Pelodiscus sinensis: one gene and its partner. The protein of the gene in region 2 interacts with the protein of the main gene of each other region in a pairwise test. Links are inferred from orthologs where the notes say so. Each region holds a gene or a part of one and is shown on either strand. Other genes may lie near its edges.

What was found.
Region 1: the proteins of TFCP2 (region 2) and CA1 interact in binary tests that used the Homo sapiens proteins (3 or more experiments, as listed by UniProt). The two-hybrid records come from large-scale screens. The link is inferred for Pelodiscus sinensis from reciprocal best matches to the Homo sapiens genes TFCP2 and CA1.

The regions. Positions count from the first base shown.
Region 1 is NC_134712.1:46,162,569-46,166,484, reverse strand, and holds the start of CA1 (carbonic anhydrase 1), read right to left. Parts: upstream 2,756-3,916; 5' UTR 2,634-2,755; coding exon 2,597-2,633; intron 1,280-2,596; coding exon 1,082-1,279; intron 28-1,081; exon of another isoform or gene 1-27. UniProt on the Homo sapiens protein: Catalyzes the reversible hydration of carbon dioxide. Can hydrate cyanamide to urea.
Region 2 is NC_134729.1:2,094,346-2,098,261, forward strand, and holds the start of TFCP2 (alpha-globin transcription factor CP2), read left to right. Parts: upstream 1-1,508; 5' UTR 1,509-1,976; coding exon 1,977-2,098; intron 2,099-3,916.

The DNA of each region.
Region 1 (3,916 bases), on a different chromosome or scaffold from region 2:
GATCAAGTTTGGAGACAGACAGCACAGGTATCATCACATCAAAAAACTTTCTTACCAACATATAGACAATCAGAATATTAGCTCTATTATTAATCTACCGTAACATGTAATTTTTATTTGAAAATTAAAAATAAGATTGTTCATGATTTAATGCAAGCCTTTAGAAATAAAAACTGTGATATGTACATATTATGGCTTAGTTATAGTAAAACAGCATGCCTGTCAAATTCAACCCAAACATTTATGTAAACCATACATGAACAGAGACTATTAATTCCTTAAGCAAGGAAACAAAAACCAGGGAAACATACAGTAGCAGCAGTTCACTAGATACAGGATTAGTATTCCAAGAGTGAGAGATGGAAACAACCTATTAGATCACCCAATCCATTCCTTCTGCGGGCAGAAGAGACTCTGCCACTATAGATCTTAATTGCCTTTCTGTGCAAGAAGAAAAACTAGTAATGCACATAAGATACTCTGAGTCTAACATATTAGTTTTACCCATATTTTAAAGCTAAGCTAAAATGTTCTTGTTAGTGATGTTGTAGGTCACCGTCAATGATATGTACATTACCAAAATACAAAGGTGTGTTCAGTCCTACTGGCAGATAGAAATCTGCAGTTGCTTAACCATCACACTAAGAATTTCTTGCCTGAAAATTCTTTCAGGGAATTGTATTAGTATTTGCAAATTAGAATAGTCAAATAGTACCTTATTTTCCCTTTATAAAGCAAGGCTAACTCTGTAATTCAAATCTGAGTAGAGTCTTGTCCATAGGAAACTCACCAGAACACAGCCATGGCTGTGGATATTTTACTACCTGGAAAAATCTGATCAATCTGGCCAATTTTAAATTTGCTTATAATAATAGAGCCCTTGCCAACAAATCCTAATTTTAAAATGATGTATTTCAGATCCTCCATGGAGTGTAAAGTTATATCACTGCATTAGTATTCTAAATCTGGGAGCACATTTGAATGGGTATTTATGGAGCTGAACGTCCATTTGCTTTTGTTTCTAGGCAAGGGTAAGAAAAAAGAATGTGTAAAAACAAACAAAAGAACCCTGTTCACTAACCTGATCGGTTATCCTTGTCCTCAAAGTTCACATGGAAGGAGTGTCCAATGTTGACAATCTCTTTGCAGGTGCTCAAATTCCAAGTGACATGGAGATGCCCCAGAGAGGGATCTTTTTTTACATTCTTGGTTTTAATGTCAATAGGAGACTGAAGGTTTCCATTGGCAACTGGGTATAATTTGTGCCACTGGTCAGGTCCTAGACAGACACAAATAATCTCATTTAGTTCTTAATTGCTACTTTAGCTTTAATATATAATTCCCAAATTGTGGTGGTTTCTTCTTGAATAGTTGTAAAAATAATCATAGACTCATGGAATACTAGAACTGGAAGGGACCTCAAGAGGTTATCAAGTCCGGTCCCTGCCCTCAGGGCAGGACCAAGCACCATCTAGATCATTGCTGACAGATGACTATCTAACATGCTCTTAAATATCTCCAGTCTTGGAGATTCCACAACCTCTCTAGGGAATTTATTCTAGTATTTAACCACCCTGACAGTTAGGAAGTTTTTCCAAATTTTCAAGCTAAACCTCCCTTGCTGCAGTTTAAGCCCATTGCTTCTTGTCCTATCATCAGAGGCCACAGAGAACAATTTTCTCCCTCCTCCTTGTAACACCCTTTTAGATACTTGAAAACTGCTATCAAGTCCCCTATCAGTATTCTCTTTCTAAACTAAACAAACTGAATTCTTTCAGCCTTCCCTCATAGCTCATGTTTTCTAGATCTTTAATAATTTTTGTTGCTCATCTCCGGACCTTCTCCAATTTCTCCACATCTTTCTTGAAATGTGGTGCCCGGAACTGGACACCATACTCCAAATGAGGCCTAAACAGCCCAGAGTAGAGCGGAAGAATGACTTCTCATGTCTTGCTCACAACACTCCTGTTGATGCATCCCAGAATCATGTTTGCTTTTTGCCACAGTGTCATATTTAGCTCGTGATCCACTATGACGTCTAGATCCCTTTCTGCAGTACTCCTTCCTAGACAGTCACTTCCCATTTTATATATGCAAAACTGATTGTTCCTTCATTAGTGGAGTACTTTGCATATCTCCGTATTAAACTTCATCTTATTTGCCTCAGACCATTTTTCCAGTTTGTCCAGATCATTTTGAATTATGACCCTATCCTCTAAAGCACTTGCAACCCCTCCCTGCTTGGTATCATCTACAAATGTAATAAGCGTACTCTCTATGCCAATATCTAAAGCATTGATGAAGATACTGAACAGAACCAGTCCCAAAACTGACCCCTGCAGAACTTCACTTGTTATGCCCTTCTAGCATGACTGAGAACCATTAATAACTACTCTCGGAATGGTTATCCAGTGAGTTATGCACCAATCTTATAGTAGCCCTGTCTAAGTTGTAGATTAGTCCTCTTTAAATATAAAAAAATGTATCACTCTATATGGTCTGATCACTGATTTATGTCTCCTTTTATCAAAAAAGAAAAGAAAGAGCCCATCTTGGTCAGTTAAATTAGTTTGCTATTAGGGAAAGTTATTCTTACCATTGTCACCTTCATAACTCCAGTTTAGACTTGCCATGTTCTTCTAACTGCAAGATATTGTCTTCAAAGAGAAATTGGTGGTGCCTGTAGTTGCTGATTCTGGGATGAGGCCAGTGCTTTTCTTCACTACAGAATTTCTGCGTTAGGCTGGGGTGTTTATATACATCACCAAGTAAGGGATTTGGCAATACATTATAATCAGATTTTATAGAGTCACCTGATCTCATGACACTAGAAATGGGTAAAGAGAAAGAGGGAAAAAGAGAGAGAGAGAGGGGGTTGGAAGAAAAAGAACAGAGGTTTACAGTCTATGTATCCTTACCATTTTGATTCAGTGAACATGTTAAATTATAAGAGACCAATAAGATTTTAAAAGTTAGACCCTTGTATTTGTTTAAAGGTTGGCAAAAGGTATCTGACACATTAAACCTCCAAGGCCAAAATTTGTCTTTGAATTCAGTGGGAGCAGCTGAGAGTTCTTCATTTTTAAAAATCCCAGACATTTATTTAGATGTCTTAAATATAGACTCAGGAACCTAACTTTAGGCATTTATTTTTTAAAATATTGGCTTTGGTACCTTTGAGTAATGTAAAATACATAACTCAGACAGTTGAAATAGTTTAACAAATGTGTTAATTATAATGCAAAATAATATTCTTCTTAATAATAATTCAGGTCCAGACCAACTCTCGTGGATCCAAATATAGCAGGGATGGTCCCAGACTTGAACATGTGGGGGAATAATTTTAGGGATAGGGTCTGTAGTGTTTTCTAGGGAGGGGAGGTCCTCACTGAGATATCCTTCTCAAGACCCACTTTGTATGGATTTTCTGCAAGAAAATCTGTACCATAAATGTTTATTCATAAACAATCTAGATATTTCTCTCAAACATTAATCTAGTCATTATGGTCCTAATTCAAGATCCTGTCCCTTATTCTGGACAGCACTCAAGCTAAGGGGGGGCTGAATTGGGATGGAATTTAAACTGCTTTTCTGAACATGGGCTTATAGTGTCAACCTACCATCTATCAAGTGGTTTCAGATCAATAAAAGTGAAGCTCTTTTTTTATAATAAAATATTTGGGCCTGATCCTGCTTTTTTTATTAAAGCTAAACCAGTTGGATTTTGCTTGAGTAAAAGTTGCAGGATCCGGCTTTTAAATGCCTATCTGTAGGATTTCACGTATAATAAACTTGCACTTCACCATACCACAGTATAATTAAATAGTTGTGCTGTTTATTTATTTCCAGTTGTTAATAAGCACAGAATTTCAAGGTAACAATTTCTACGTAAAATAAGGTTCAACATAACATATTT
Region 2 (3,916 bases):
GCCCACTCGTTAGCCTCATTAGCACCAGCACTATTATATTATTGATAGACAATTTTCTCCCTGCCACTGACTCTCCACCCAGGGCCATCCTCATGGACAGTGGGTGAACCTCCAGCTAGGGGAAGGCAAGTCCCACCTCCCCCATTCTGGAGCCAAGCCCAGGTTACTGCTCCCAGCCCTCTGAACATGCTAAGACCCCTTAGTCTTATGTTTGGAGCAGGCAATGCAATCCTTTGCCTACGTTACCTCCCCCCCTCCGTGGCCATCCTTACAGTTTATGCTGCCCTAGGTAGAGGAGCAGGGTGGGGGGCTGCACTTAGGGCCGTGGGAGGGGCAGGAAGGGGGAAGTGCTGCAGCATCCTCACTTTTTCATGGGCTCCCTGTTGCCACCAGCCCCTCCATACACAGAATATGCAGCTGCGTGGGGGCACCAGCCCCAAATTTCATGGCACCGTACACAGCTGTGTGTGACACCTAAGGACAACGCTGCCTCCCTCCCAACCTGTAGCGCACCTATTCTCCCTGTCCCCCAAGGTTTGCACCGCCGTCTGTCCTAACCCAGCTCCCGTGCTCCGGACTGAGACCCCTCCCAATTCATTGCACTTATGAGCCGGCGGCCGGTCTCGAACCCGTGGCACTCCAAGGGGCCGGCCTAAGCCATGTCCCAGGAACGCAGAGGGAGCCGGAGCCGGGCCGTACCACGCTGAGCAGAGCGGGGGGGGGGGGGGCTTTTGCGCCGTAACCCCGCTAGCCCCGCCCTGTCCAGAGTGCTTAGCCTATCACCGCGGCGGTGCCGAGGCAACGGGCCCTCCGGTGAGTCGTGATTGGCTGGAGCCCGTTGTGCGTCCGAAGGGGCCTGGGCGCCGCGATTGGCCGCGAGGCAGGGAGGGGGCGGGGCTTGCGCCCGGCTGGGCTGGAGCTGGGGGCTGCGGCGCTGCCGCCGCCTCCATATTGCGGGGCCGGGAGCGGAGGTGGCGGGGTTGCGAGTCGCGCGCGGGGCCGGGCAGCCTGGGCGCCGCTGAGGGGGGAGGGGCCCTGGGGGAGCTGCTCTCTGGGAGGGGGGACTCTGAGGGGGGGGTCCCCAGGGGGTGCTGCTCTCTGGGAGGGGGTGACTCTGAGGGGGGGTCCCCAGGGGGTGCTGCTCTCTGGGAGGGGGGACTCTGAGGGGGGGGTCCCCAGGGGGTGCTGCTCTCTGGGAGGGGGGACTCTGAGGGGGGGGTCCCCAGGGGGTGCTGCTCTCTGGGAGGGGGGACTCTGAGGGGGGGTCCACAGGGGGGTGCTGCTCTCTGGGAGGGGGTGACTCTGAGGGGGGGGTCCCCAGGGGGTGCTGCTCTCTGGGAGGGGGGACTCTGAGGGGGGGTCCCCAGGGGGTGCTGCTCTCTGGGAGGGGGTAACTGAGGGGGGGTCCCAAGGGGGTGCTGCTCTCTGGGAGGGGGGACTCTGAGGGGGGGTCCCGAAGGGGTGCTGCTCTCTGAGGGCGGTTCCCAGGGGGGTGCTGCTCTCTGGGAGGGGGTGAGTCTGAGGGGGGGTCCTGGAGGTTGTCCCCTGAGAGGGGGTGATTGGGTAGGGGGTCCTCATCTCTGAGGACTAGTCTTTCCCTGGAGGAGGCGTGACACTGGGTGCTGAGTTCCAAGAGGTTGGATTCCCCTGGGAACACAGACTCTGGCTCCCTGGGGTGCGGGGAGGGAGCGGCCCCTGAAAAGCGTGCTCGTGGCTGTGGAGGTCCCAGGGAGATAGTATTCCTTGGGTGGGGGTGACTATGTGAGTTGGAGCCCCCTGAGAGAGCGAAATTGTGGGTCCGTGGTGGGGCAGCATCTCCTGGAGGGATTTTCCCCTGTATTGGGATACCTGAGGGGTGTATCTCCTGAAAGGGGTGATGCTGCAGTGAGGGCCTGTGGAGGTTACTCTGCGTCCATTGATTTCTGGAGGGGTTGTACGTTTGCCCCGTGGCCTGAGTCCTGAACCGTTGGGTGAGGATGGCGTGGGCTCTGAAGCTGCCGCTGGCGGACGAGGTGATCGAATCGGGGCTGGTGCAAGATTTTGATGCCAGCCTCTCAGGCATTGGCCAGGAGCTGGGCGCTGGTGCCTACAGCATGAGGTAAGTGAGATCCTCCTCACCATCATGTCTTACACCATGGATTGAGAGGGGTGAGGGGAGTAGAATGTGAGGACCACTGCCTCCTGGAGGACTGCACAGCCCAGGGGTAGTTGGACATCGTGTTGGACTGGGCTGAACAGATAGCAAAGTGTACTACAGATGTCGTGTTGAATGGCTGATAACTTTCTGGTGGATTGATTGGAGCCCTCATGAGGTTGGATAAGATCAAGAAACCAGGTTGTGCAGGAGCCTGTCTTCGGTAGTGATTTGTAACAAGGGGATACCAGACACACACCCACACACACCCCCCAGCGTTTGCTCTGCATGTTACATTTGTGAGCATGAAAGATGACGTGAAAACAGTGACAGGGCGACTTGGAGAGAAGTATAAAACCCAAAGATAAGGTAGAATTTAGAAGAGAGAAAAATGTGTATGAGGAGGACCTGAGGAGTTAGCAGGTGCTGGGAGCCAGAGTTGAGTTCTGTGTCTGAATTCTAACAGTTGGGTTGGATCATGTTATGAGTTTTGTAAAGCCTCAAATGAGAGTTAATGGGGACTGTGTGCTAGGGATGTGAATGGATAACCAGTAACAGGTGAGCCTTACCAGCTCTGGTTAACCAGTGGGCACTGGAGCAACTCCCTGCTCCCCGTGGGCAGGCTGCTCCAGCTTTGTGGGGCCCACCACAGCTGGGAGGTGCACCAGCTGGGCCAGAGCAGTCCCTGTCAGTGGTGATGAGGGGGGGACTCCAGCCCAGATGTCACCAGTGGGGAGGCCACTTGGGCTCCTTTTAATTGGTTAACCGGTTAAACATTAGGTTTAACGGGTTAACCAATTAAAAAGGATTTTACATCCCTACTGTATGCTTCAGGGTGTCATCTGAATGCAGGGTCAGGAAGGATTTGGATTTCAACCCCTTAAGTTCAGCATTGGTTAGATTGGGGGAAGTTCACCTGCCTCTAAAAATATAAAGTATTGGCCATGGTGGAAGGCAGGTTTCCAGGTTGCATGGACTGTTCCTAGAAAGAGGGTATAGTGAATCCATTCCTCTGCAGTCTGGCCTCTTGCTGATATCGGGTTATGGGTAAACCGTCCAGACTTCGGTATGCCATGGGCGCAGCGCTGCAGCAGCATAGCTGCACTGATACAGCTGAAGTATATGTGCTAAAGATGTGCTATATCATTGGGAAAGAGTTCTTCTGTGGGCATTTAAAAAAAAACCAACCCTCCGCAAGCGACAGAAGCTGTGTTGGCAGAAGACGCTCTCCCACCAGTATAACACTGTGCACACGGGTGCATATGTCGACGTAATTTATATACAGCACTTTGAGAGGTGGACTGTTCACATCCCTGAGCAACGTAAGTTTTGCTGACATAGGCTGTAGTCTAGCTATAGTTTAAATCCTGTGCTTCCCCATCTGTTGCTGATTAGGAGACCCTGTCCCATGCAGTCTTTGTTCTGTGCTTTCTCAGCTAATTAGGTTGTGTGAGATCCTCCTTAATCTTGCCCTGAATAATCACCCCGAGGGGAAGGAGAGGTGTCTTTCAGCTCTGGATGATCTGAGCAAAGGCGTTAGTATCTTAAGTCAAGAGTGATGTTGATGAAACAGAGACGGTTCAGAGAAGAGCCATGAAAGTGATTAAAGGGTTAGAAAACATGCCTCAGGGTTAGTTTGTGCAGGAAACTTAAATCAGTCTTGCTGCGTCTATTGACCTGTGAAATATCCATACCCCTGAAGGATGTAGCTAGCCCCCCAGTGTGGACAGGGCTAAGTTGACAGAATTGTTCTATTATCTCTTGGAACCCTTCCCGTTGGCA